Linked DNA regions of Elephas maximus indicus. The protein of the gene in region 1 purifies or fractionates together with the protein of each later gene. This does not show direct contact. Links are inferred from orthologs where the notes say so. Each region holds a gene or a part of one and is shown in the gene's direction. Other genes may lie near its edges. The genes, in order: TNKS1BP1, CNOT10, CNOT6 and CNOT11.

Evidence for each region.
Region 2: the proteins of TNKS1BP1 (region 1) and CNOT10 purify together in Homo sapiens (affinity purification with mass spectrometry; 4 studies listed by BioGRID and IntAct, with this or other methods). This does not show direct contact. The link is inferred for Elephas maximus indicus from reciprocal best matches to the Homo sapiens genes TNKS1BP1 and CNOT10.
Region 3: the proteins of TNKS1BP1 (region 1) and CNOT6 purify together in Homo sapiens (affinity purification with mass spectrometry; 3 studies listed by BioGRID and IntAct, with this or other methods). This does not show direct contact. The link is inferred for Elephas maximus indicus from reciprocal best matches to the Homo sapiens genes TNKS1BP1 and CNOT6.
Region 4: the proteins of TNKS1BP1 (region 1) and CNOT11 purify together in Homo sapiens (affinity purification with mass spectrometry; 5 studies listed by BioGRID and IntAct, counting the BioPlex papers as one, with this or other methods). This does not show direct contact. The link is inferred for Elephas maximus indicus from reciprocal best matches to the Homo sapiens genes TNKS1BP1 and CNOT11.

Annotation. Positions count from the first base shown.
Region 1 is NC_064825.1:118,733,418-118,740,257, reverse strand, and holds the start of TNKS1BP1 (182 kDa tankyrase-1-binding protein), read left to right. Parts: upstream 1-3,827; 5' UTR 3,828-3,962; intron 3,963-4,250; 5' UTR 4,251-4,262; coding exon 4,263-4,401; intron 4,402-5,489; coding exon 5,490-6,123; intron 6,124-6,840.
Region 2 is NC_064845.1:6,926,933-6,934,063, reverse strand, and holds the start of CNOT10 (CCR4-NOT transcription complex subunit 10), read left to right. Parts: upstream 1-4,119; 5' UTR 4,120-5,076; coding exon 5,077-5,278; intron 5,279-7,131. UniProt on the Homo sapiens protein: Component of the CCR4-NOT complex which is one of the major cellular mRNA deadenylases and is linked to various cellular processes including bulk mRNA degradation, miRNA-mediated repression, translational repression during translational initiation and general transcription regulation.
Region 3 is NC_064820.1:202,907,973-202,915,100, forward strand, and holds the start of CNOT6 (CCR4-NOT transcription complex subunit 6), read left to right. Parts: upstream 1-4,108; 5' UTR 4,109-4,427; intron 4,428-7,128. UniProt on the Homo sapiens protein: Poly(A) nuclease with 3'-5' RNase activity.
Region 4 is NC_064835.1:84,609,661-84,616,640, reverse strand, and holds the start of CNOT11 (CCR4-NOT transcription complex subunit 11), read left to right. Parts: upstream 1-3,962; 5' UTR 3,963-4,095; coding exon 4,096-4,612; intron 4,613-6,980. UniProt on the Homo sapiens protein: Component of the CCR4-NOT complex which is one of the major cellular mRNA deadenylases and is linked to various cellular processes including bulk mRNA degradation, miRNA-mediated repression, translational repression during translational initiation and general transcription regulation.

The DNA of each region.
Region 1 (6,840 bases):
GCCTTCTCTGTAGCCCTGTCGGATGGCGCCCGTTTTTCCCAGTGTTGTCTACTGTATCGCCCTGGCCCAGCTTCTCAGCTGGGAAGCAATCTTCAGGTACATCCTGTTCTGTTTCCAGCTGGACAAGCATTGGTTTTCACGCTCTTCTGCCGGGACGGGCCACCTGAGAGTGTAGAAATGAGAGCTGATCTGATTAGGAAGTCTCTCTCACAGTTCCACTCCATTAGCCTGGCTAAGAGGAGGCAGCCTCTGGCTCCATCCTTAATCACCTATGAGTCAAGGGTCTTCAAAGGCTTTAGGTAATTGAATCAGGCTTTAGGTAATTGAATTGACCAGTTTCCCTGCAACCAGGAGAGTAGAAACCTGAGCCTGGAGAGTTGGGGAAGATGAGTAGGGTGTGTGTCTGTGCGTGTGCGCGCGTACACGTCTAATAGGGCACAGAAAAAATATGATGGAGTATGTAAACCTTTTGTTCTTAAGGGAGAGGATACTAAATTTGGGGGTTGGGAAGGAGCGATATTTGGGAAGGTAGCGTAGCAGAGGATAAGCAAAGAAAGGAAAGCAGGGCTGCCACCGTATTCCTCCCGGTGGCTCTAAATCTGAATTTACACACGTGGGGTGGCCACGTTGCGTACGTGCTCAGGAGGACTCCGGGGGTGGCAACAGGAAGCCTCTCCGGTCCGCCAACGGCTACCTTCTTTCTTGCCGTGACTCTATGGTGCTGCCATCAGTACAGGCCCTTGGGCTCGCGTATCGGGTCGCCCTAAGGCAGCCTCCACTCTAGGCGGTCGTCTCGGTGGCCATCTTGCCCGAGCATTCCAAACTCCCGAATTGCGTCAGTTTCGCCGGGTCCGAGCTGAGGCGGGCCCCTCATTTGCAAGACTCATGAATAATTGAGTACCAGGGCGGCGCTGTTTGCATTTGGTCGGGCGAGTTCCGTCAGGGCTTCCCACTCCCGGGGTTGCATCGGTTTATGAATGTTCATGAGGTGCTCTGGGGGCGTGGTCATGGGCGGAGCTAGGGGCGGGGCCCCGCCGGTGCTCGCTCTGGCTCGGTCCCGCGGTGACGGCGGCAGCGGCGGCGGCGGCGGTGGGGACTGGCGTCGGGGCGCCTAGCCGAGCGGAGCCACATCCCCGGGGAGCGCGTGAGTGAGCGGGGGCGGGCGGTAGGGCGAGGGAGGGGGCGGGGTCCGGGATGGGGCAGGGGAGGGGCATAGGAGAGGTGGGCGCTTTGCTGCTGGGACCTCTGGGTGAGGTGGGGCGGGGGTCTCAGGGAAAGTTTTCAGGGGCCGGGGGCCGCGAGCTAACAGGGGAGCTGACGCGTGGCCGCGGGGGCGAAGGGTGCACAGTCTGCATCTCGTGCTGCAGGAGCCAGAAGAAAGGGGGGAGGGGGCGAGGGCCTGGGGCGGGCCGAGGTGCTGGGTGACCCCTTCCTCCCTCCTCTCCTCCGGCCCCTCGGCACGCCCCCAGCCACCCCAGGCCGCCCCCACCCGGTCCGCGTCCTCAGTCCTCCATCTGTTCTCCGGCTGCTTCGCATCCCGCGCACAGGTCCTCCGCTTTGCTTTCTGCTCCTCCTCCTCCTCCTCCTCCTCAGCTGCCGCCGCCCCCTCTGTGTCCAGAGCTCCCCACTGGGCCCCTCCAGACGGCCCCTCGCCCCGGGCTGTTCCGCCTTCCGGTTGGCCCTCCCTCCTCCAGCAGTTCGCATGCCGTCCCTGCTGACCTCTCTGGCCCCAGATTCGGCCAGAGATCCCAGGGTCCAGAGGGACCATCCCATCTGCGCCGAGTCGCCTCAAGGCCCCTGCCCTGGGCTCGAGCTTCCCAGCCCCTCCCCAGCCCTTCTGGCGGCCTTTTTTGCCAGGGATCAGTCAGCTCGGCTCCCCGGGACCCCTGGGGGTAGGGAGTGGTCGGGAGCCGCTCCGATTCTGCAGCTTCTGGTCACGGTCTGGTCACCTGGAGCTCCTGGCTGGGGCCTCTGAGCTGCTGTGGCCCCCTCCCCAATTGGGGAATCCATGTTCTCACGTTCATGACTGCTTTCATGGTGCAGCCTCTCAGACCCCAGAGGTCCACATCAGGCCCCCAGGTGAAAGGGTTTTTCGGTTCTGGGCCAGTTTGTCTCCATTTCTATCTAACCACCCACACCATGTCCCTTGTAATAATGTTCAAGGACAAGTAAACGATCTCGTGTTTCTTAATTTAATTTTTTCTGTCCTGTGGCTCCTCCCCCATGCACACTTGGACAGGGACCTGCTCAGTTATTCTCCCACCCAGTGGGCAGCCCTGGGTGGTTCTCGACTAACTGGTTGACCAGTTGATAGCCCTGGGCTTCTTTCTACCCTTCACACATCCTCTCTTATGTTTGAAACAGTGGGGCAGGGGCACAGGTAAGTGGGATAGGTTTTGCAATGGTTGGGCACCAGAGCCCCCTTCTTAGGGTTTGGTGCTGTCTTTTCTCAGACCAGCTGGAGTGTATGTGGGAGGTGGTGCCCCTTGCATATCGGAAAGGGTTGGGTTGCTGCCTTCATGTGCTTTGTGAGCACTAAGTGCGTAGGAAACATTCCTCTTACTTTTGACCTCAAGGGGCAGGGCTCTATCTCCCAGGCTGGAGTGCCTGGGGGGTCTTGTGGGTGGGATGGTGCTCCAGGAGCCAGGATGGGAACTGAGGAGGTGGTGGAGTATCTGAGCTACAGGTGACATGACTGCGGTGTGTGGAAGTGAAAGAATGGGAATGCTGAGAGCCTGGGGTCCAGGGAGATGAGGAAGTGGTTACCTGAGATGCTCGCTCATTGGTGAGACTGTGAATGGAATAATAGTAATAATAGCTAATGTTTATTGGACACTTAATGATGTGCTAGGCATTGTGCTAAGCAGTTTGCATGCATAAAAGGAGCCTTGGTGGCACAGTGGTTAAGCTGCTAACCAAAAGATCAAAAGTTCGAACCCACCAGCTGCTCTACAGGAGAAAGTTGTGGCAGTCTGCTTCCGTAAAGATTACAGCCTTGGAAACCCTATGGAGCGCTTCTACTCTGTCCTATAGGGTCACTATGAGTTGGAATCGACTCGACGGCAATGGTTAATGGGTACCTCACTTAAGCCCCCCAACAGCCACGATAGCCCCATTTTTTAGATAGGGAAACCGAGGATTAGAGAAGTGAGCCATGTGCACAAGGTCACATAGCTACAAAGTGGTAGACCCATCCAGCATTTGAATCGTGGTTCTCTCAGACCCAAAGCACCTGTTATAGATATGGAAGAGGGATACCTATTTGGATTCTACCATGGACTGTGTTTCTTGTTTTAATTTTTTCCTCACCCCCCTCAAAATCCCATCATGCTATCTCTAGGCTGGTGAGTGATGCCCACTTATCTCCCTTTTTCATAGGCTGTGGCTGTTTCAACCTGGGTGTCCTAGAAGGGGGAACCCCAGGGAGTTTTCCCCCAAGCCACTCCACCCCCCGGATGTTCTCAAGCCCTGTCCCATTCTCCCAGCCCAGGCCTGGGCCGGCTCCTCCTTCCTCTTGGCAAGGCTCTGGAAATCCAGTGGGAGGCCATTGCTATGGCAACAGGACTAGGCCTTGGCTTTACCTCATCAAATTCTAAGCTGAAGCCAAAGCGATTGAGAAATTAAAGAAAAAAATATATTCCAGATGTTTACTTTTTATTCCTTATTTTTCCGTGTTTGGATTAGACGGCTCTGAGGGAGGCGGGAGAGGGGCAGGGATGTGGAAGGGGGGTGGCAGGGGGAGAGGGAACCACTCCCAGCTGGAGGAGGGAGGGAGAGAAGGAGGGTGAGCGGGAAGGGGGAGGCAGGCAGTGGGGCGGAGCCCCAGGTTGGGGAGGAGCGGGTTTTTCCCGTCTCCCATGAGGTGATTCACTGGGAGACTTCAGACTTTTTGGCCCTCCTTGTTTTACCTCGAGTAGGTAACTCCAGCGGGGCTGCTGGACCCAAGGGGTGCCTTGGGAACGGTAAGTGGGGTGACTTGGAGAGCTTGCCAGAAGAGGGAGCAGTGGGTGGCTCCCTGAAGGTCCAGGACTCTGGGGTCGGGAGGAAAGAGTTGGTTGGAGGGTGAGCTGGGAAGAGGAGAGGACTTGGCAGCTGGAGTCCTCCCTTGACCTCCCCCAGCCTCCTTCGGAAGTTCCCTCTTCCTGTCCCACTCTCTGCCTTGTGCTAGGAGACTTCCCTTGGCTGAGCCTACTGCCAACGCCCAACTTTTTTTTCCTTCTCTTCCTTTTTCTCTTTTCCTGGGTCTTCAGCTGCCCCAGCTCATGCCCCTCTGCTCCCTGAATCTCACGCAGGGTCTGCCGCATGTGATGAAAGTTTCAACTCTCAGGGAAGGCACAGCCATGGCTTCCCCACCGCCCCGGGAGATGGAGGAGGAGCTGGTGCTCACTGGCTCTGAGCCAGGTACCCATGGGTGCAGGGTGGGGCGGGTAGCTGAGGAGGAGGGTTGGAGGGGCAGAGACTACACCCCCATTCTGTTTTTGTGGAGGTGGGCCAGGAATGGTTCTGTTGAGGTGGGAGTGAGGACGTCCAGATGAGTTTGTAAAGGTCTCAGCCCCTTCGGAAGAGGCTGTTGAGACCATCTGGGGCTGTTTGAGATGCATAGAGCCCCCAGCAGGTAAGAGCAGACAGGGCTCTTCAAGATGATGTGATCAATCAAGCCTCATGTATTATCGAGGGGAAACTGAGGCCCAGAAGGGAGAGATGGGGTTTGAACCCAGGCCTCCTAGCTCTCTGTCTAGACTGCTTTCTTACACTGAGCTGAATGGGGATCATACCGGATTCTATTAGAAGGGAGGTGGCCATGAGTAATTCCAAGGTCTTTCTTTGGCATTGGAATGCCTTATATAGAAGGCAGTTTTCTGGTCTTGTTTTTTTGCTGTAGCAGATTGACTTCTGTTTGGCTTAGGTCAATAGTAAATTTGCATTCCTGATCTTACCAGATGACAGTGGGGAGGTGGCCTGGGAGTATACTGGGGGCGGGGGCAGCAGGGAGGCAGGGCCCGGAAGCCCAGCTGGGCTTAAGAGTTTTGTCATGGGCGATAGTAGAGTATCGATAAAAGAGTATCCCAGAATACAAGGGGGAGGACTAGATAGGGGGATGGTTGGCCACATGGCTTGATATGGGTGGTCAGGCATTTATTTATGGACACTTTTGCCTGTTCATTCATTCATTCATTCATTTTTTCTTTCTTTTGATAAGACCTTGTGTTAGGTACCAAACAGGGTACCAGCTGGGCCCTTAAATAGCAGTAACTTATACGGGGGAAATGCCTAAACATTTTAGAAGTTTGGAGACGGGAGAAGATGCTCTTAGGATGCATGTGGGAAATCAAGGAAGGCTTCGTGGAAGAGGTGGCATTTGAATTGTGCCTAGAAGGATGTGAACATTCTGAGATGGGAGGGTGGGAGATGAGGTGGAACAGGAAACACAAGAAGTTCTGCTTCCTCGCTGTTCTGACAGCTGCCCCCCAACCATTTTGTTCTGATAGGTGACTCTCGGGCCAAACCCCCTGTCAAGCCCAAGCCCCGGGCCCTTCCCACCAAGCCAGCCCTGCCTGCCAAGCCCAGCCTACTGGTGCCTGTAGGGCCTCGGCCCCCCCGGGGCCCTCTGGCTGAGCTGCCTTCTGCCCGGAAGATGAACATGCTGGCGGGACCCCAGCCCTATGGTGGCAGCAAACGTCCCCTCCCCTTTGCACCAAGGCCTACTGCTGATGCCCCTGATGGAGGAGAATCCACTCGAGGGACTGGGAAGGAGGAGGCTGGCAAAGAGGAGGTGCCCCCCTTGACCCCTCCAGCGAGATGTGCTGCCCTGGGCGGCGTTCGGAAGGCCCCGGCCCCATTCCGTCCAGCCTCAGAGCGCTTCGCAGCCACCACCGTGGAAGAGATCCTGGCCAAGATGGAACAGCCTCGGAAGGAGGTTCCTGCCAGCCCTGACCGCCTCTGGGGCTCCCGCCTCACCTTCAACCACGATGGCAGCTCACGTTATGGCCCTAGGACCTACGGCGTTGTCACCAGCCCCAGGGCTGAGGATGGCGGGACCGTTTCCAGGGGATGGTCCCAGGAGGGGCCCCTGAAGTCTCCAAAGGAGAGCCAGGAAGAGCATAGCAAGACCCCTGAGGAGAGGTGAGGGTGGGGAGGTCATATGTTTTGTTGTACCTGGAGGCCGGGGGTACTGAGGATGCCGTGGGTGGCTCCCTGGGGCCGCAAGCTTCACCTCTAGGCAAGTTGTGTGCTCTGAGTGCAGGTACACCCTGGTCTAAGTGTCACAGATGTACTCCTCCAGCAACATACTACTGGGACCATGCTTACAGAGCTGCTGCATGTTTACTGTAGAGAGCTCAAATGTCTAACATAGAAATTTACTTTTAGTTTCTATACACTGAGAGCTGGGCACTTAAGATAGGTATTTTCCAAACTTGTCCCCTTTAATCCACAACCATCTGTTGGGTGAAAGGAACTTAGACCCATTTTGTAGAGGGGGAGACTGAGGATCAAAAAACGATTTCCCACATTCCCTCAGCAAGTAAGAGGCAGAGCTGGCATTTGCATTCGGGTCTGTTTGATTCTGAAGCCTGTACTGTGGGCGGAGCAGTGTGCCAGGCCTGAGGTGGGAGGGGCAGCAGGATGAGCAGGTACAGTCTCTGCCAGAGGAGGAGTCTGATGGGAGAGTTAAGACTGCACATACCAGAGAGTGTGAACACACAGGTTATGGCTGGACTGGAGACTGTTGCATTAAGTACACTTCTTCAGAGCAGGCCAGCAGGCGCCCCTTGGGGTCATGGGCACTGGGCAATGGAAGAAAAGGCTCAGGGATCTCAGGATCCCTCAGCTGCATGGAGG
Region 2 (7,131 bases), on another chromosome or scaffold:
GTTATTGGCAACTTGGCACTTCATTTCTAAATGCATCAACACGCATTTCCTAGAAGTAAGGACATTCACCCACATAACCACAGTGGTTAAGAGCTTGGCTATTACCAAAAGGTCAGCAGTTGAAATCCACCAGCCACTCCTTGGAAACCCTGTGGGGCAGTTCTACTCTGTCCTGTAGGGTCACGATGAGTCGGAATCAACTCAGTGGCAGTGAGTTTGGTTTGGTTTTAATGACTAATGATGTTGAACATCTTTTTGTGTGCTTGTGGTCCATTCGTATATCTTCTTTGGTGACATATCCAAGTCCTTTGCCCATTTTTTAATTGGGATGTCTTTTTGTTCACTCTCTTTTCTTTTTGCTCCTCAGACTTGATAGTAATTGTCCTATATTTGTGTTCACTGGTTCTTTTTTCTGCCAGATCAAATCTGCTGTTGAACCCCTACAGTGGATTTTTCATTCCAGTTATTCTTTTCAGCTCTGGTATTTTTCATTCTTTTTTAAAATAATGTCTGTCTTTTTCTTGATAGTCTCTATTCTCGTTTTATTCATACATCATTTTCCTGATTTCCTTTTTTTTTTTTTAACCTTTTGAGTATGTTTAATACTGTTGTTTTAAAGTCCGTCATCTGGGCTTTCCCACGGACAGTTTTTTTTTTTTTTTAATAATTTTTATTGAGCTTTAAGTGAACGTTTACAAATCAAGTCAGCCTGTCATACATAAGCTTATATACACCTTATTCCGTACTCGCACTTACTCTCCCCCTAATGAGTCAGCCCTTCCAGTCTCTCCTTTCGTGACAATTTTGCCAGTTTCTAACCCTCTCTATCCTATCTCCCCTCTAAACAGGAGATGCCAACACAGTCTCAAGCGTCCACCTGATACAAGTAGCTCACTCTTCATCAGCATCTCTCTCCTACCCATTGTCCAGTCCCTTCCATGTCTGATGAGTTGTCTTCGGGAATGGTTCCTGTCCTGGGCCGACAGAAGGTTTGGGGTCCATGACTGCCGGAATTCCTCTAGTCTCAGTCAGACCATTAAGTCTGGTCTTTTTATGAGAATTTGGGGTCTGCATCCCACTGATCTCCTGCTCCCTCAGGGGTTCTCTGTTGTGCTCCCTGTCAGGGCAGTCATCGGTTGTGGCTGGGTACCATCTAGTTCTTCTGGTCTCAGAATGATGTAAGTCTTTGGTTCCTGTGGCCCTTTCTGTCTCTTGGGCTGATAGTTATTGTGTGACCTTGGTGTTCTTCATTTTCCTTTGATCCAGGTGGGTTGAGACCAATTGATGCATCTTAGATGGTCGCTTGTTAGCATTTAAGACCCCAGACGCCACATTTCAAAGTGGGATGCAGAATGTTTTCATAATAGAATTATTTTGCCAATTGACTTAGAAGTCCCCTTAAGCCATAGTCCCCAAACATCCACCCTTGCTCTGCTGACCTTTGAAGCATTCAGTTTATCCTGGAAACTTCTTTGCTTTTGGTCCAGTCCAGTTGAGCTGACCTTCTGTGTATTGAGTATTGTCCTTCCCTTTCACCTAAAGTAGTTCTTATCTACTAACTAATCAGTAAATAACCCTCTTCCACCCTCCCTCCCTCCCCACCTCGTAACCACAAAAGTATGTGTTCTTCTCAATTTATACTATTTCTAAAGATCTTATAATAGTGGTCTTATACAATATTTGTCCTCTTGCCTCTGACTAATTTCGCTCAGCATAATGCCTTCTAGGTTCCTCCATGTTATGAAATGTTTCACAGATTCGTCACTGTTCTTTATCGATGCGTAGTATTCCATTGTGTGAATATACCACAATTTATTTACCCATTCATCCGTTGATGGACACCTTGGTTGCTTCCAGCTTTTTGCTATTGTAAACAGAGCTGCAGTAAACATGGGTGTGCATATATCTGCTTGTGTGAAGGCTCTTGTTTCTCTAGGGTATATTCCGAGGAGTGGGATTTCTGGGTTGTATGGTAGTTCTATTTCTAACTGTTTAAGATAATGCCAGATAGATTTCCAAAGTGGTTGTACCCTTTTACATTCCCACCAGCAGTGTATAAGAGTTCCAATCTCTCCGCAGCCTCTCCAACATTTATTAGTTTGTGTTTTTTGGATTAATGCCAGCCTTGTTGGAGTGAGATGGAATCTCATCGTAGTTTTAATTTGCATTTCTCTAATGGCTAATGATCGAGAGCATTTTCTCATGTATCTGTTAGCTGCCTGAATATCTTCTTCAGTGAAGTAGGTGTTCATATCCTTTGCCCACTTCTTGATTGGGTTGTTTGTCTTTTTGTGGTTGAGTTTTAACAGAATCATATAGATTTTAGAGATCAGGCGCTGGTCGGAGATGTCGTAGCTGAAAATTCTTTCCCAGTCTGTAGGTGGTCTTTCTACTCTTTTGGTGAAGTCTTTAGATGAGCATAGGTGTTTGATTTTTAGGAGCTCCCAGTTATCTGGTTTCTCTTTGTCATTTTTGGTAATGTTTTGTTTTCTGTTTATGCCTTGTATTAGGGCTCCTAACATTGTCCCTATTTTTTCTTCCATGATCTTTATCGTTTTAGTCTTTATGTTTAGGTCTTTGATCCACTTGGAGTTAGTTTTTGTCCATGGTGTGAGATATGGGTCCTGTTTCATTTTTTTTGCAAATGGATATCCAGTTATGCCAGCACCATTTGTTAAAAAGACTATCTTTTCCCCAATTAACTGACACTGGGCCTTTGTCAAATACCAGCTGCTCATACATGGATGGATTTTTACCTGGGTTCTCCATTCTGTTCCGTTGGTCTGCATGTCTGTTGTTATACCAGTACCAGGCTGTTTTGACTACTGTGGCTGTATAATAGGTTCTGAAATCAGGTAGAGTGAGGGCTCCCACTTTTCTTCTTCTTTTTCAGTAATGCTTTGCTTATCCGAGGCTTCTTTGCATGGACAGTTTTTGTTACTTTATTCTTCTGAACAAGTCATCCTTTCCTGTTTTGTTGAATGCCTTGTGATTTTCTGTTGAAACCAGGTCATCTGACTGTTATGGTAATTCTGGAAATCAGATTCTTCCCCTTCCCTGGGGCTGTTGGGGGTTTTATTGTTTGTTTTAAATCATTAGAACTGTAGTAATCCATTTATTTAGAGACTTCCCCTAACTGTTTTTGCAAAGACTACGTTTCTCTACATATGTAGACCCTGAAGTCTCTGTTCCTTAACTGTGTTCAGCTAGTTTTTTGACAGATTTCCTTGAGTGCCCGGGGTGGGGGTAGTGCAGTAATGTCTGTTTGTCTTTGCAAATTGGTTCTGTGCTAGGGCCCTCCTTCAGCACTTAGCCAGGTTTGTGTTGAGCCTATAGGACAGCCCAGCGTGAAAGTGTATGGTTTTCAAAGGTAATTTCTGAGCGTGTGCCTTGCTAATTCCTCCATATACAAGGTGCTTTTGAAAGTCTTCTTTTACAAAAGTAATCTTTCTTGGCTTTTCCTTCCAGTCTTTAGGTGCCTGTTGTGTGCCTTAATTGCATTCTTTAGCTACAGGCAGCTACAGCTTTTCAGAGTTCCCTACTGCCCCTCAGCCCAGACGTGTCAAACCAAGATGAGCACCTTGCTTTAGTCCTTGAGGCAGTCCTCGGACAGGTTAGATCAGATACAACAAAGTCTGCTCTGCCGTATCTAAAGCCAGAGACCAGGCTCTCTCTCTGGGAATGTGGACCATTGTGGCTTTAAGGTGGCCGTGCCAAACTAGGGAGGGGATTGAGTGCAGGTGACTAGAAAATGAAAGTTTACCTAATGCCATTAAGATGTTACATTTTGCTGATGCCACTATCTTGCTTATGTTTGATATTTTAAGTATGTTTAATGTTTAAGAATTTGGAGCAGTGTATTAATCTTGTTATTGTGATTAAAAATGTATAAATGAGTGAGTAATTGATTATAGTTGTGAATTTAAGTCAAGTCCTTACTATATTTGTATTATTGCATGGAACATCAAAGAGTACCTAAGAGTTACTGTATTTATCCATCTCATTTCTTAGATTTATAAATTAATGTATTTAAGTTCTCAGAAAATGTTTTAAGTCAAGCAATTGTACCTAAAATTGAACATATTAAAGATTTTAAAGTAGGGAAAATTTTGTTTGAAAGAGCTTAACTCTGTAAATGAGATCAAATATTCATTACAGCCGCTTAAAATCGACGCAGGTTTCCTAGACCTTTAAATAGGGTAATAAGATGTCTAAGTTGAATGTAAAAGCTTGAGGAAAATCTAGGCTTTATTAATTTATAACTTCAACAAATCTAATATTAATGTTTAAACCTAGAGTAAATCTCAGTCTTTTTTATGCATAAAAACTGCTCTCAGATATGAAAATAAAAATACTCACTGGCAGTGGGAGTGGGTATGCTTTGCTGGTTATCCCCAGAGCATGCTGATGTTCTTGATTTGGACTTCACTTCCTTTCTTTCTGAAGCACTAGGCAAGGTGTCCACCTCTGTAGCATTGCTGGTTATGAATGGCGTATCCTTTGGGCCCTGCAATGTCTGCTCTCCATTTTTGCAGCTCCTCACGTCCAGCCTACAGTGAAAAGGAAACGTGGCTTATGCAGTACTTCTTGCTTTCTGGAAGGTAGCTCCACTGGTCCCCTGTTACTTCTCTGAGTTATGTAGAGGTCAGGTATCTGTGTGTGGAGTTTTCATACCTCAGGTATACTTGTTGTTTAGGTGCTAGAAGGAACACGTGAGGTATGTGAGCCTCAGCTATATGGTGACTTTGGTGAGCCTGGATTACTTTTCTTTGAAATGGCATCCTTGTTAAAACTTTTCTCCACAAAGGCATGTCAGTATTTTGCAAACATTGCAGATTTCTGTCAATCTTAATGCATTCCTTTTTTCTTTGAAAAATTATCTTTTCTTGAACATCACTGGAGCTACGTATTGACAAGTGTAGGTTGCGCGGAAGCTCATGCTCCAATCAGATTTGAATTGTTAGTGTTCTGTATTGGAATGCGTCTCTGCTTTCAGTTAACTGGCTTTCAGTTTTGAAAAAGCAGCGTGTTCCTTTTCCACTTAGTTCATACCTAAAGGCATTCGTTTGGTTAGAAATGAAGCCTGTCGGCTTGAAGACTGTCAAGATTTGTGAGGCAAAGAGCTCGGGTTGCCTAGGTCAGCCATGTTCGTTAGGTCAGAGTAAAAGGAAAGTCAAGCCTTTGAAAGACCCATCATCATATTCTCTTTCAATTGGCAATGGGGACTACTTTTGGACAAATAAAGAAATGTTGTGGAATTACGTGCAGGCTCTAACTGGTAAGAAATTAGCAGTTACAAATAATGATTTTAAAAAATTTTAAAAACCAATTATAGGAGAAATACGTATTTATCATAGAACGTTTGAAAAGTGCAAAAAGATAAAAAGAAAATGAGCGTTCTCACTATAGTGTATTTTTAAAAAAAACAGTAAATTTTCATGCTAAAGTGAAAGAATTTAGGTAAAATAACAGTTGGTTAACATGTAAAAGGTTATTTATTGAGCTCAGTTCTTTGAAACAGGTGTAGATACAAGAATCACAGATTTTCTTGTCAGGCTTAAAGTCCAGCTTATTTATTTAAAACCTGGCTTCTTTCCTTTCCTGGAGAATTTGGGGAGACTTGCAGTCCCTAGGGGATGACGACAGCAGTGGCCACATGCACCACTCTGCTTTTCACGGAGAATAGAAGCTTAAACTCCTTGACTCCTTGGTGAATTGTTGAGTGCATCCTTGTGCCCTATAGTTAATGGTCAGTCTCTAACAGTTAGGCCCAGAAGACCCGTTAAAGAATGTCATCTGGTCTAGAAGGGGCATATTTTGGAACAAGCTATAAAGATAACTTGATGGCAAGCTAAGAATTTTTGGCATTTGGTTTAAATATGCACCATAAAAACCAAACCCATTGCCATCAAGTCGATTCCGACTCGTAGGATAGAGTAGACCTACCCCATAGGGTTTCCAAGGAGCGGCTGGTGGATTCGAACTGCCGACCTTTTGGTTAGCAGCCGAGCCCTTAACTACTATGCCACGAAGGCTCCATACTTACAAACCAAAAAAACCAAACCTGTTGCCATCAAGTCGATTCCAACTCATAGCGACTCTATAGGGCAGAGTAGAACTGTCCCATAGGGTTTCCAAGGAGCACCTGGTAGATTGGAACTGCTGACCTTTCGGTTAGCAGCCGAATTCTTAACCACTATGCCAGCAGGGTTTCCATACTTACTTATAGGGGAAAGGTAATTTTTTAAGAACTTGCGTTTCCTAAACTCTTAAATGGAAAGAGAAACATGTAAAAAGTATTTGTATTCATTGTTAAAATTTTATCATCAATATAATGTGATAAGTTGAGGGTTGAGCTTCAACCTAACCCCCTCCTGTGCTTTCTGGGGTCCTGTAATCCTGCGTCCCATTTCAACACATTATTAAAGTAATTGATCATTACTGTTACTAAGTACCTGATGGTTTGCAAATGTGAAAGAGGGGTCAGAGCAAAAATCCTGGAAAGTGGGATAGAAGTGCGGTCAGACTGTTGACAGTTATTCGGGGTAGAGATTGTAGAGCCGCTTTGTACTTTATATGTATTTATTAGTTTTGTAATAAAAAGTGAACATGTAAATAAGAAATCCAAATATCATGAGACTTTGAAGTTGTTCTTTAAGTCACAAATGATGACATTACTCTTATATATTGTGTCTTTGGTGAAAGTTTACATAGGAAATTAAGTTCTCATTTAACAAATTTTGTACATATTGTCTAGTGACATTGGTTACATTCTTCACAATATTTCTGCGTTCTTATTATTTCTATTTTAGTTGTTCTGTTTCCGTTAATCCAGTTTTCCTGTCCCCCCTAGCCTTCTCATCTTTTGTCTAGGGTAAATGTTAAGCCTTTGATTTCACCTGGATAATTATTTTGGGGAGCACAGTCCTCACAGGTGATATTATTTATTTTATGGGACAGTCTGTCATTTGGCTGAGAGGTGACCTCTGGGAGTGGTTTGAGTTCCAAGTTTAAAGAGCATCCCAGGGCGATAGTCTCTGATGACTTTACTCTTACATGTCGGAGTCACATTTTTGCAGTGGTCACTGTCACTGGTCTTTTAGTTAATGCATGAAATATCTACTGGTGAGT
Region 3 (7,128 bases), on another chromosome or scaffold:
AAATGGGGAAAAAGACTGAGGTTGTCAAGGATTTCATTTTACTTGGCTCCACAATCAACACCCATGGAAGCAGCAGTCAAGAAATCAAATGACACATTGCATTGGGCAAATTGGCTGCAAAAGACCTCTTGAAAGTGTTGAAAAGCAAAGATGTCACCTTGAAGACTAACATGAGCCTGTCCCAAGCCATGGTGTTTTCAATCGCCTCATATGCATTTGAAAGCTGGATGCTAAATAAGGCGGAATGAAGAATTGATGCCTTTGAATTGTGTCACTGGTGAAGAATATTGAATCTACCACGGGCTGCCTAAAAAATGAATAAACCTGTCTTGGAAGTACAACCAGAATGCCCTTGAGAAGAAAGCATATGTCTCACAAACTTTGGACATGTTATCAGGAGGGATCTGTCTCTGGAGAGCATCATGCTTGGTAAAGCAGAGGGTCAGCAAAAAAGAGGAAGACCCTCAACGAGATGGGCTGACACAGTGGCTGCAACAATGGACTCAAGCACAGCAACAATTATGAGGGTGGCGCAGGACCTGGCAGTGTCTCACTCTGTTGTGCATAGGGTTGGTATGAGTTGGAACCGACTGGGCGGCACCTAACAACAATTAGGAAAAGTACTTTCTCTATTCAAGTGGAGTCGCTGATAGAATCTAAGCCTGCAAGTGTTGTCGGCCACAATTCCTACCTGACCTTGAAGACTATGAGGGTTAAGGTTGGGTATCAACTTAACTCGACCATGATTCTGTGGTTTTGCAGTTGTGATGTAGTTTGGCAGCTCTGTGATGATGTTATCACCTCCATTGAGATCTGATGTAATGTAATTACCTCCAAGATGAAATGTTATGATCAGCCAGTCAGTTGAAAGGGAGCTTCCTTGGGGGTGTAGCCTGCATCCAATATAGGTGGACCTTGTGGCAAAGCTCACTGTCTTTTGCTCGCTCTGGATCCTGCAGCTGGCTCCTGTTCATCTGACCTCGAGTTCTTGGGACTTGAGCTAGTAGCTTACCAGCTGATCTTGGGATTCACCAACTTCTGCAGCCTTTGAGCCAGAGGCCTGCTGCCCTGCCAATCTTGGGCTTGTCAGCCCCTGCAGCTGCATGAGTCAGAAACCTTCAGCCTAATCCACGGATTTGGGACTTTACAGCCTCTACAACTGCGTGAGCCATTTCCTTGATATAAATCTCTCTATATGTATTTATACTCTTCACTGGTTTTGCTTCTGTAGAGAACCCAGCCTAAGATGAAGCCTGTTTGAGGAGGTAAGCAGAAAGGAGAGCCGAGTGGAGGGTGGGGGAATGAGATTGATCCTGATGACACCTATGTTGCCTCAACTTTTCAGTTATGTGACACTCCAAATCTGTCTTGGAAGAAGTGCAGCCAGAATGCTCCTTAGAGGCAAGGATGGCAAGACTGCGTCTTACATAGTTTGGACATGTTGTCAAGAGGGATCAGTCCCTGGAGGAGGACATCATGCTTGGCAGAGTACAGGGTCAACGAAATAGAGGAAGACCCTCAACAAGGTGGTTTGACACAGTGGCTGCAACAATGAGCTCAAGCATAACAAAGATTGTAAGGATGGCTCAGGACAGGGCAGTGTTTCGTTCTGTTGTGCACAGGGTCGCTATGAGTCAGAAGCGACTCGATGGCACCTAACAACAACTTGCAATGGGAGGTCTTGCCTAACATGAGAGGAATTTTGATCTGTATCTGAAAAGGTGAGTAGGCATTTGGTCAGGTTCTCTTCATATATTCTGGAAGACCAGGACATGCACAGGCAGGCCACCATTAGTGCCCTTCTTGTGGTAGCCAGTCTACTCAGTTTGCCCCAAATAAGTCCAACACTCCCCATGTGTGCATTCAGCTCCTTCACAGCTCTCTTGTCCCTCCTCTTGAATGTGGACTGGGGCTGTGACCGCTTTGACCAATAGAATACAGTAGAAGTGAAGGCCTGACTGTCCACTTCTTCCCTCTTGGAGCTCTGAGTCACCATGTAAGAAATCCAGGCTCACCTGCTGGAGAGAGCCCACGCAGAAAGGCCAGGAGGATGAGATACTACAATGAGAGGCTTCACTGGGTAGCACCAATGTGCCAGACTTCCAATCCAGCTACCATTTGAGGCATGGGTATGAAACACCTCAAGTGAGACCAGTAGAAGAAATGTTCAGCTGAACTCCAGAATTGTGATATAATTAAATTGTTTTTTGCCGCCAATACACACACACTCCGCAAATCAAATCACAAAAAGTAGCCCACTCTGGAAGGATGAACTGCAAAAAGGCTGGAGTACAGGTTGCCAGGGCTCAGAACACACATAAGGAGGAAAGGCATCACTTGGCCCCACAGCTTAGTGATACTTTATATTGGACACCTGCTGCATAACCCCAGTGTCCACTAGTCCTGGAGGCTGGATGTTGTGGGGGGATGCCCACAGGCAGCTGGTGCATCTGTATTTGTTCTTATCAACCCTTTAGCTCTACTAGGCTTTTGCACTGCCCTGCCTTTTCCCATTGTTCTCAGCACTAGGGGCCTATGCTGTTACTGGTGATTTCTTGCCAGATAGCAGGCAAGGACCATCACAAGGCCATGTTGGGAGAGGTAAGAACAAAACTCAAATAGCTTTTGTCCCTTAATCTTTTCATTGCCCTTCCAGCCTCCTGCCCCCCTACCCTGGGGAGTAGCCACTCCATTTCCCACACTAGATCAAGACAGGTTTCAGTGAGGGGTGTGTGCCTATCGATTTGTTGCTATTGCTAGTACCTGGAGCTGTTTCACTTTCACTTCTTAAAGGCTGATTTTCTGGGAAGGACCAGTAGCCCTTAGTTTGTCATCTAGGTGAGTGGGAAGCTATTTCTTTTCCCTCACGCCATGCATGCATCTCCAACGGACTCCAAGTATTTCTTGCCCCAATATGGTGGGCTTACTCAGAGCAGAGTGGGTGGCACCTAACAACAATTAGTAAAAGTACTTTCTCTATTCAAGTGGAGACGCATAGGGCGGGGCCTCAACTATCAGTCAACTAGTGTGGTGGGGTAGTGGTTAATACAGTGGCTGCTTAACCAAAAGGTCGGCGGTTTGAATCCACCAGCTGCTCCTTGGTAACCCTACGGGGCAGTTCTACTCTGTCCGACCCCTTGCCCTTGAATCGATTCTGACTCACAACGACCCTATAGGACGGAGTACAACGGCCCCACACAGTTTCCAAAGAGCAGCTGGTGGAGTCGAACTGCTGACCTTTAAGTCAGCAGCCGAGCTCTTAACCACTGCGCCATCAGGGCTCCGGTGCCAATTCTTTCTCTGCTAACCTTAGGTCACCACAGTTGGCCCTGCATACAGTTACTCAGGCTAGGACCGCTCCGCCCAAACTGTCTGTTAATTTACAGGGCTGAATTACTATTAATGGACTGAAACGGCTCACTAATTTTTCTGCATAATTGAGGCAGGAAGAATTAAGCGACTCTTCACGACCGAATTTCTAGTTTTGGGGCACCTTAAGGTGTTTCCACGTGATGGACAGAAAGCCTAAGGAAAAGGGAGAGGTGAAACGAAGGGGGGGGGTGGGGAGATCAAGGAAAAAGAAGGAAAAGAGGAAGCAAAAGTGAACAGTCTGAGACAAAAAGAGAAAAACAAACAAAAAAACCCCAAACCCACTGCCATCCAGTCAATTCCGACTCATAGCGACCCTATGGACAGCGCAGAACTGACCCAGAGTTTCCAAGGAGCGCCTGGTGGATTCAAACTGCTGACCTTTTGGTTAGCAGCGTAGCACTTAACCACTACACCACCAGGGGTCCCAAAAAAAGAAGGTAAATGGAAAACGGAAGAACGGAGAAAACAGAAGCGACCAGAAAGGAGAGCGGGAAGAGGAAACGGAGGGCAGGCGGGGGAGCGCTCCGGGCCGGCTCACCCTCCCCGGCGCGGGGGTGAAGGAGCCTGGAGAAGCGGCATGCGGGTGGCGGCCCCCGTCGGACGCCGAATGGTAGCGTCCGGCCACGGCGACCAATGGGCGACCGGGATGTTGGAGCGGCGGCCGCAGTCGGGGCGCTCGCTGGCTGGGGGACTGCGGCCGCCGCCATGATGCTTGTTTGCTTTCAATGAAAACGAGGGGGGCGCGGAAGAGGAGGCGTCGGCGTCGGTGGCGGCGGCGTCGGCGGCGCGGAGGCGAAGGCGGCGGTGGACGCAGCGAGGGGGGTAAAGCCGGAGGCGGAGAAGACAGGAGGGCATAGTGGCGACTAGTTGAGGCGGCTGAGGCGGGCAGCTGAAGCGGTGGCGCTCGGAAGGGGAACAAAGAGCGGCGGCTGAGGAGCGGCAGTGGCGCTGCAGCAGCGGGCGGGACTGGTATGGTGGTTCCACAGGTCAGACCCCGCTGCACTCAGAGGGAGGAGGCGGCGGCAGCGACGGAGGAAGGCGGCGCACCCCGAGAGGTGAGCGAGACGGCCCGAGGCCTGGCTGGCGCTGCTCCCCGCACTGGCCGCGCAGAGGCACCTGTCCAGTCTTGCCTTCGGGACCGGAGCCGGTGCGCGCCGGTGTCTGTCGAAAGCAACTTTTGTGGGTGGCAGTCCCCCCTGCTTGACCGAGCTGCTGGCTTTGGGGCTCCCCCCTTGACGCGCCGCGGTTGTGATCCCGCCCCTCGCCGGGCCGCGCCCCCGCGTGGATCTGGGGCGGGGGGGCGTTGATTGACGGCGGTGGCGGCGGCGCGCTGAGGGTCGGGGACTGGCGCGTCTGGTTTCGGGACCGGGCTCATGCCACCCGGAGGACGCGAGCCCCTGTCCCAGGACTCGTAGTCAGGGTGGGTGGTAACTTGAGCGGAGTGGCTGCGTTCATCTAGGATTGCGAGCTGGGGAAGTGTGGAACTTCGCACTACGCGGCCGCAGTTACCACAAAGCGGGAAACCAACTGTTACACCCCTCCCCCATCAATTATTTAAAATTAATTCAGTTGGGAGACAGACGTTTTTGGGGATGGGGCACAATGACATTGTTAACGAAACGCTTAGCATCAGTTGAAATTTCTTCCTGTAGTCTGTTGCTGAGGATTCGGAGATGGTCTTCCACGATACTAATTACTGGAAACAGTTTTCTCTAATAACCGGCATCATATCTTTTCGTCTTCTTATTTTTAAACCATAGTCGGTATATTCTTTGGAAACCTTCCTCCCCCCGCCCCGCAACTCTTTCACCTTCCCCAAAGGGCCTGTATTTTCAAGTGTTACTGCAAATGACAGCATTGTGAATGATCATATTGCTTGACCTTCTTGGATTTGTTATTGTGCTGAGCTGAAATTGTTTAAATAATTTGCTTGAATTTGAGTTCCCATGCTTACCTGTTTCCCGGATGGATTGGCTCATTATTGCTAGTGCCGAATTTTCTTGCCTCTTGATGTCTGGGAGTGTGAATTTTGGAGGGGAAGAGAGTGAATTATGAATAAGAGAAAAAAGGTGTGTGACAGGACTTAGTGTTTTTCACGTTACAGTAGAATTTACCGTTACAAAGCAGTTTTGTAAGCTGTAGGAATTGAAGTTTTGTAATATCAGATCAGTATCACAGTCTTCTGAATGTGATAAATTTTAGAATAAAACTTGCTTAATTTTTTTTTAGACTAGTGATGTAGTCCGGTCATCTTGCTTTAGACAAAATATTTGATTACCTACTGTTAAGGAAACTGAGACCTAGGAAGATTAGAGCGACTTGCCCAGGATACTATACTTAAAGAGGGTAGGACTAGGTTTTGTGTATGAGTGCATGAGATTGTGATAAAATTGCTGGAGATTTGTTTTAATGGACACATGTTATTTAAAGCAAGCATCCCAACCAGTGTGCCTTGCATATAGGAATGGGTTACAAGTGTGCTGAAGATACTGATCCCCTCAGCCCTTGTGTGCCAAAGGCTCTAGCTGTGAGCAGCGTTGACCATTTATCTCAGTATATCTTAGATATATTATCCTTTTATGCTGTGCTATGACAGAAAAAATGTTTATGCTTTACAGAACATAAGAAAGCTGAGTATAGTGAGATGCTTAACCATTAACCAAAATACATGCATATTATGAGTTCAATGGGCAAATTACTACAACACCTTCATTTACAGTCAGGACCAAATACTATCAGTTCACTTCGTGTCTGTTCAAAAGTTAAGAGTCTGAGATTTCTCAATAATTGTAGTCTTACTTTGCCACCAAGTTTCATCTACAAATAAGCATTCAAAAGGACTTTCTTAAGCTATGTTGCTGCTGATCAAGACATTTTTAATAATTATACAAGGGTAGAGTTCCAAGAGAAACTTCAGAGTCACACAAGAGAATTTATGTATTTGATCACATCCTCTTTTTTGACCATTTCATTAATCAGCTTATTCACTGGAGAATTAACCAGTCTCAGCTACCTTAACCCTTTCAGGACCACTTTTTGTACCTCTGGGGTTTATTGGGAAGCTGCTGACTCACAAATAATGTGTGCTGCTGGCAGGCAGGGCCCTATGCAACAGTTTGAAAGGAAAAAACAGGTGTGTACTGCAAATTACTGTTTTTACAGGGTATTGTGTGAGGTGGTGCTGAATCATTGAATTTTTGGCAGGAGAAGCATGAATTCTGAAAATTTTTATTTGGTACACATTATGTACCTCTGGATTCCAAGAGTACGATTTGTGGAATGAGGCATAAAACAAAAACTGTAATACCTACCAAAAATCCAGATACACTCAATGATTCATATTGCTCTCTATTATAGATTCATATTGCTCTCTATTATAGATTCATATTGCTCTCTATTTCTCTATTACTGAAAATGCATAGTATCAACAAAAAATTAAAAGGAAAAAATAATTAGGTCATGAAAGGGTTAAGGCATTTATTACTTTGGAAAAATCCAAATATATTCAGCTAAGAACATATTTTATCTAGAAGAGACTTGGATTTCTGGGGATGCAATGCTATTTACACTTTCTTTGTGAGTGGAACTTAATGTATTTAGAAAAGAAGGTTCCCATTTTAATTTCCAAATCCCCTCGCTTTCACAAAATTTTTTACTGATTAACTTTACATACTTTACCCACTATCCGCTTTAGGAAGGTGGCCGTTTTACAATGAAGTATGACTAATAAAAGCATTAATCAAAATACATATATGG
Region 4 (6,980 bases), on another chromosome or scaffold:
TCTTTTTGGTATAATGACTCTGTGTATTCCTTCCATCTTCTTTTGATGCTTCCTGCATCTTTTAATATCTTCCCCATGGAATCCTTCACTATTGCAACTCAAGGCTTGAATTTTTTCTTCAGTTCTTTCAGCTTGAAAAACGCCCAGTGTATTCTTCCCTTTTGGTTTTCCATCTCCAGTTCTTTGCACATGTCATCGTAATACTTTACTTTGTCTTCTCGGGAGGCCCTTTGAAATCTTCTGTTCAGTTCTTTTACTTCATGAATTCTTCCTTTTGCTTTAGCTGCTCGATGCTCAAGAGCAAGTTTCAGAGTCTCCTCTGACATCCATCTTGGTCTTTTCTTTCTTTTCAGTGACCTCTTGCTTTCTTCATGGATGATGTCCTTGATGTCATTCCACAACTCGTCTGGTCTTCAGTCACTAGTGTTCAATGCATCAAATCTATTCTTGAGATGGTCTCTAAATCCAGGTAGGATATACTCAAAGCCATATTTTGGCTCTCGTGGACTTGCTCTGATTTTCTTCAGTTTCAGCTTGAACTTGCATATGAGCAATTGATAGTCTGTTCCACAGTCGGCCCCTGGCCTTGTTCTGACTGATGATATTGAGCTTTTCCATCATCTCTTTCCACAGATGTAGTCAATTTGATTTCTGTGGGTTCCATCTGGTGAGGTCCATGTATGTTAGTGAAAGAAGGTATTTGCAATGAAGAAGTCGTTGGTCTTGCAAAATTCTATCATTTGATCTCCGGCATTGTTTCTATTACCAAGGGAATCTTTCCCAATTACTGATCCTTCTTCTTTGTTTCCAACTTTCATATTCCAAACGGCAATAATTATCAATGCATCTTGATTGCATGTCGGATCAATTTCAGACTGCAGCAGCTGATAAAAATCTTCTATTTCTTCATCTTTGCCCTTAGTGGTTGGTGCATAAATTTGAATAATAGTCGTATTAACTGGTCTTCCTTGTAGGCATATGGATACTATCCTATCATTGACAGCGTTGTACTTTAGGTGTCTGTCAGTTTGTTGTACTGTGGGGGCTTGTGTATTGCTGTGATGCTGGAAGCTATGGCACTGGTATTCAGATACCAGCAGGGTCACCCACAGAGGACAGGTTTCAGCTGAGCTTCCAGACTAAGACAGACTAGAAAGAAGGACCCGGCAGTCTACTTCTGAAAAGCATTAGCCAGTAAAAACCTTATGAATAGCAGCAGAACATTGTCTGATATAGTGCCGGAAGATGAGACCCCCCCCCCCAGGTTGGAAGGCGCTCAAAAGATGACTGGGGAAGAGCTGCCTCCTCAAAGTAGAGTCGACCTTAATGACGTGGATGGAGTAAAGCTTTCGGGACCTTCATTTGCTGATGTGGCACAACTCAAAATGAGAAGAAACAGCTGCAAACATCTGTTAATAACCGGAACCTTGAATGTACAAAGTATGAATCTAGGAAAATTGGAAATCATCAAAAATGAAATGGAATGCATAAACATCGATACCCTAGGCATTATTGAGCTGAAATGGACTGGCATTGGCCATTTTGAATGGGACAATCATATAGTCTACTATGCTGGGAATGACAACTTGAAGAGGAATGGTGTTGCATTCATTGTCAAAAAGAACGTTTCAAGATCTAGCCAATGAGTATTAGGTTATGTTTGTTATGTTAATAAGGCAGGATTAGGGTATATCTTGAGTTAATCTCTTTTGAGGTATAAAAGAGATTAAACAAGCAAGCAAAAAGAAGCAGAGATGGGGGAAGACAGAAGCCAAGCCTCATGAAGATCTCCCAGGAGCTGAAGCTCAAAGGGGCCTTTCTGCCAGCCTACAGAGAAAGAAAGCCTTCCTCTAGAGCCAGTACCCTGGATTCAGACTTCTAGCCTCCTCAACTGTTAGAAGATAGATTTGTTTGTTAAAGCCACACACTTGTGGTATTTCTGTGATAGCAGCCCTAGATAACTAAGACATTACTCTGTTACAGCATATTTCTAATGATAACAAGGATAAATTGTGTTCTGTACACACAGTCTAAAAAGAAAAGAAAATTTGTGTTCTATTTTATAAAGAGTTTTAAAGGTTTCAGTGGGATATTTCAATTATATAGTAAACTCAAGTATCAGATGAAGATGATTCTCTCCTGGGGGTTCCTGCACTGATTGTTACTGTGCTGCTGACCAAGAGGCCTCCCGGGGCCACCAAACTCCTCTAAGCTCCAAAAAATGCCTCTGTTTTGTCCCTGGCCTTTCAGCAATGCCTATAGCACTGTCTGGCAGATAAAAGGTGCTCAAAACCAAATCCATTGCTGTAGGATTCCAACTTGTAGATAATAACCAAACCTGTTGCCTGACTCACAGCGACCATATAGGACACAGTAGAACTGCCCCGTAGAGTTTCCAAGGAGTGCCTGGTGGATTTGAATTGCCTACCTTTTGGTTAGCAGCTGTAGCACTTTAACCACTGTGCCACCAGGGTTTCCTCATAGATAACAGGTGCCCAAAACAGTACTTGTTAAATGACCAAATGCAGGTGGGAAGTCTGAGGGCAAGGATGAGGTGAGTATGAAGGAGGACCACCGAAACCTATGCTGATGATGGCTTAGGGCCTGAGAACTGGTTTGTGGGAACACAAGCAAAGTCTGATGTCATGTTCATGTTGAAAATACTCCCACAGAAAGAACAATACTTAGTTCTTTTTTGTAATCAATAATGTTCAAATATTTTAAAGCATCTTGAAAATACAAAACGGTAAAACCTGTGTATGGTAGGTTAATTGCTGTAACAAATAGACCCCAGAATGTAATGGCTCAAACACAATTATGTTTATTATAGTAAAAGAATAAAAACAAGAGTACTTTCACGCTAACTGACCCAGTTCCCCAATGTTCCAAACATTAGCAAATTATCTTTGCTGATGTTAGGAATGTTAATTGGCTAGTGGGATCTTTGGCAACTGAGCAGGAAATTGAAGAAGTCTTCAAAATATGCATACTCATTGGCCCAGCAATTTCTCTCCCTTAAAATTTCCCTAAGAATTAAGGAGGCATTTAACTACTTGAGTTGATAGCATAGTTGAGAGCCAATTGGGAGCCCTGGTGGTGCTGTGGTTAAGCGTTCAGCTGCTAACCAAAAAGTCGGTAGCTTGAATCCACCAGCTCCTCCTTAAACCCGATGGGGCTCTTCTACCCGGTCATATAGGGTCGCTATGAGTTATACCGAAACACAAGTCTGGCAAAGAGCATGTTAGAGTCACGTGGGAGGCTTGTTTTGTTTAGCTGCCTGGATCAGAATCTTTGGGTTGGACCAAACATTAGCATTTTCGCAGCCAGGATAGGGCAGACTAAGTAAAAAGTAGCATAGCCAAACGGCAAGGATTCCATTTCTGCAAATGACAGCATAAGACAAATTAGCTTTAGATATGGGAAATGTTTGGTTAGTTATACGCTTTAAAATTTTTTACAATGAACAGCCATGGATGTTATATTAAGAAAACTACACAGAATCCAAACACTACAGTAGCCAGTACTTATTGGGGGGAGGGAGAGTGCAGTTTTTAAGCGCTTGGCTGCTGCCCGGAAGGTCGGCTGTTGGAATCCACCAGCGGCTCCTTGGAAACCCTAGGAGGCAGTTACACTCTGTACAGGGTCGCTACGAGTTGAAATTGATTCCGTGGCAGTGGGTTTGATTTTTGGTTTGTTTATCGGGACCGTCCGGCCAACCACTGCGCCGGGGGAGCCTACACAGCCCGCCTTCCCAGCAGCGCAGGCACTGGCAGCAGGCGGACCCCAGGCTCGCCGGGCTGTCCCGCCGTGTGACGTCTACGAGCCACGACCCGCCCGCCCAATCCGCGCGCCCCCTCCGGCCCCGCCCCCACTTCCGGCCGCTTCCAGCCCGCCCATCCCACGCCTCCCGATCCTTCCGGCGGCCTCGCTCCACAGCCTCGCTCTCGCTCGGCGCTGCCTCCGCGGCGCTCTGGCTTTCCCGGCGTGTTTTGTTTGCGACGCTGTCGTGCCACAGCACGCTTTACGGCCGCGGGGACGGAGCCAGCCGGCGCCAGGGCCACTCCGGCCAGGAAGCAGGGCAGGCGGGCGAGGTGGATGCCCGGTGGCGGGACGAGCGCGGCGTCTGGCCGGCTTCTCAGCGCCGCGGAGCAAAGCGGGGTCCGGGAGGCGGCGGGGTCGGCGTCCAGGAGCGGCCCGGGAGTCTCCAGCGGCGGCAGAGGCGCTCGAGCCGGCGTCCCCGGGCCGGGGAGCGGAGGCCCCGGGGGCCCCGCGGGCAGGATGAGCTTGACGCCGAAGGAGCTGTCGAGCCTGCTGAGCATCATCTCGGAGGAGGCGGGCGGCGGCAGCACCTTCGAGGGCCTGTCCACGGCCTTCCACCACTACTTCAGCAAGGCCGACCACTTCCGCCTGGGCTCGGTGCTGGTCATGCTGCTGCAGCAGCCCGACCTGCTGCCCAGCGCGGCGCAGCGCCTCACGGCGCTCTACCTGCTCTGGGAGATGTACCGCACCGAGCCGCTCGCCGCCAACCCCTTCGCCGCCAGCTTCGCGCACCTGCTCAACCCCGCGCCGCCCGCCCGCGGCGGCCAGGAGCCCGACCGGCCCCCGCTCTCAGGTGGGCGCCGCCTCTGCGCCGGAGCCCCGGGGGCGGGGGGTGGCTGGGTGGGTGGGCTCGGCCGGTGCCCCGGGGGCGGGGGGGTGGCTGGGTGGGTGGGCTCGGCCGGTGGCCCGGGGGCGGGGGGGTGGCTGGGTGGGTGGGCTCGGCCGGTGGCCCGGGGGCGGGGGGGTGGCTGGGTGGGTGGGCTCGGCCGGTGGCCCGGGGGCGGGGGGGGTGGCTGGGTGGGTGGGCTCGGCCGGTGCCCCGGGGGCGGGGGGGGTGGCTGGGTGGCTGGGCTCGGCCGGTGCCCCGGGGGCGGGGGGGTGGCTGGGTGGGTGGGCTCGGCCGGTGCCCCGGGGGCGGGGGGTGGCTGGGTGGGTGGGCTCGGCCGGTGCCCTGGGGGCGGGGGGGGGTGGGTGGGCTCGGCCGGTGCCCCGGGGGCGGGGGGTGGTTGGGTGGCTGGGCTCGGCCGGTGCCCCGGGGGTGGCTGGGTGGCTGGATGGGCTCGGCCGTTTTCCCCTTGCGCTTTTGGGAATTCGTCCAAAGTGACAGTAAGTCTCCCTGTGAGGTTATGGAAATCCTGGTGGCGTAGTGATTAAGTGCTGGGGCTGCTAACCAAAGGGTCGGCAGTTCGAATCCGCCAGGCGCTTCTTGGGAACTCTGTGGGGCAGCTCTTCTCTGTCCTGTAGGGTCGCTATGAGTTGGAATCGACTCGACGGCAGTGGGTTTGGGTTTCGTGAAGTTAGACTATCCCCTGGCCCATCTGTTCTCACGTCTGAGAGAGGGAACTTAATTACAGATTCGTGGGGCTGGAAATAAGCCCTCTCGACGTGTCCCGTGCAGCTCTGTGTGAGGCTGGCCATGTTCAGTGCCTCAAAAACGGTTCGTTTTCTACAGCCCATTTGAAGTGTCTGAAGTTAAGCATTAAGACACAACTGGATCTGGCCCCGGTTTTAACTCTCGGATGAGTAAATGGAGGTCAATATTAAGAACCCAAAGAAGCTAAACCTGTGGTTAAACAGCGTTTAAAGACTTTGCAGCCGGTTGGTCGACCTTGGATAATAGGATGGGGGCAGAGGATAGGAGGTAGTCTCAGACAGACGACCCCGATTAGAAAATGCAGGACTGCTGAACGATGTAAACCGTGTAGTTGTGCAGCGTTGGTAAGATCAGGTCAGTGGGTTAGATGCCAGGCTGCACTTTCTGTTTGTTTCTAGAACTCGAGCAGCCAGTGCTTTGTGGGGATTGACTTTGGGTGAAGTCTTGCAGCCAGGAGAGGAGAAGGGTAGAGAGTGGATGGTGACAGGGATTAGGGGCCTTAGAAGAGGACAAGTGTAGTGGCGAAGCAGGTAAACAAGGGAGAACAGCTTGTAGCCCGTAACCCGTGGGAGACGGTAGGTTGCCCTATGGTAGAGCCTGCTATACGGAGAGATGGTTAGGGCAGCAGCTTTTGAGATATTCCCTGGGGGCTTTTTGGTGGCATGTGAGGGCTTCTACATTTTAGGCTCATCAGTCTTCTGCCTGGCAGCCCCTCTGGATCTCAAGTACCTCCTGATGAGTTTCTTGCACTGTTCTTGTCTAAGAAAGGCACCATTTTTGTTGGACTGAGGTGCTCTTAGGGTACTGGTACTCAACCTGGCTTTTAGAAAGTTTGAGAACCCCTCAAAAGTGAATGCAGCATGTGTGTGTGAGGACAAAACCCACCAACCACCCTAGGGTGCCATTATTATAGGATGGGGACAGTGTAGGATTTACGTCAGAGGGCCCTTTGAATTCTGAAGGGCTGGTCAGGCGAAAGAACCCTCATTTGTATAATGCAGTTCTCAAACGCAGTGATTCTAAACCAAATCCCAGCCCATAGACTGTACTGTACCTACAAATTTGCCAATGGAGCTGAGGCAGTTGCTAGGGAAGGAATTCTTGGATGGGTTATTTAACCTCTCTGCAACTCAGTTTCTTATCTGTAAAATGCAGATAATCATAATTCCTCCCTGGCAGGGTTGTTACGAAGAGTAAAAGTCCCTACGATGTTACCCGTTGTTCCCATCACTGTTGAAGTAGGTACAGATGGTACGTAAATACACAGAAGAGGAAGTCTCAGTGTCTGCCAGCCCACTCCTAGAACTTCTGTTACTGTACGTCGAGGGTAAGCATCTGATGATGTCAGCTGCTGTCAGGCCGACTCAGACTTCTGGCAACTTTACACACGACAGAACGAAATGTTGCCTGGTCCTCCATTATCCTCTTGATCACCTGCATGTCCGATTCCATTGTTGTGGCCGTTGTGCCAGTCCATCTCACCTAGGGTCTCCCATACTGTTGCTGGCCCTCTACTTCACCAAACATGATGTCCTTCTCTAGGAATTGATCCGTTCTGGTAAGGTGT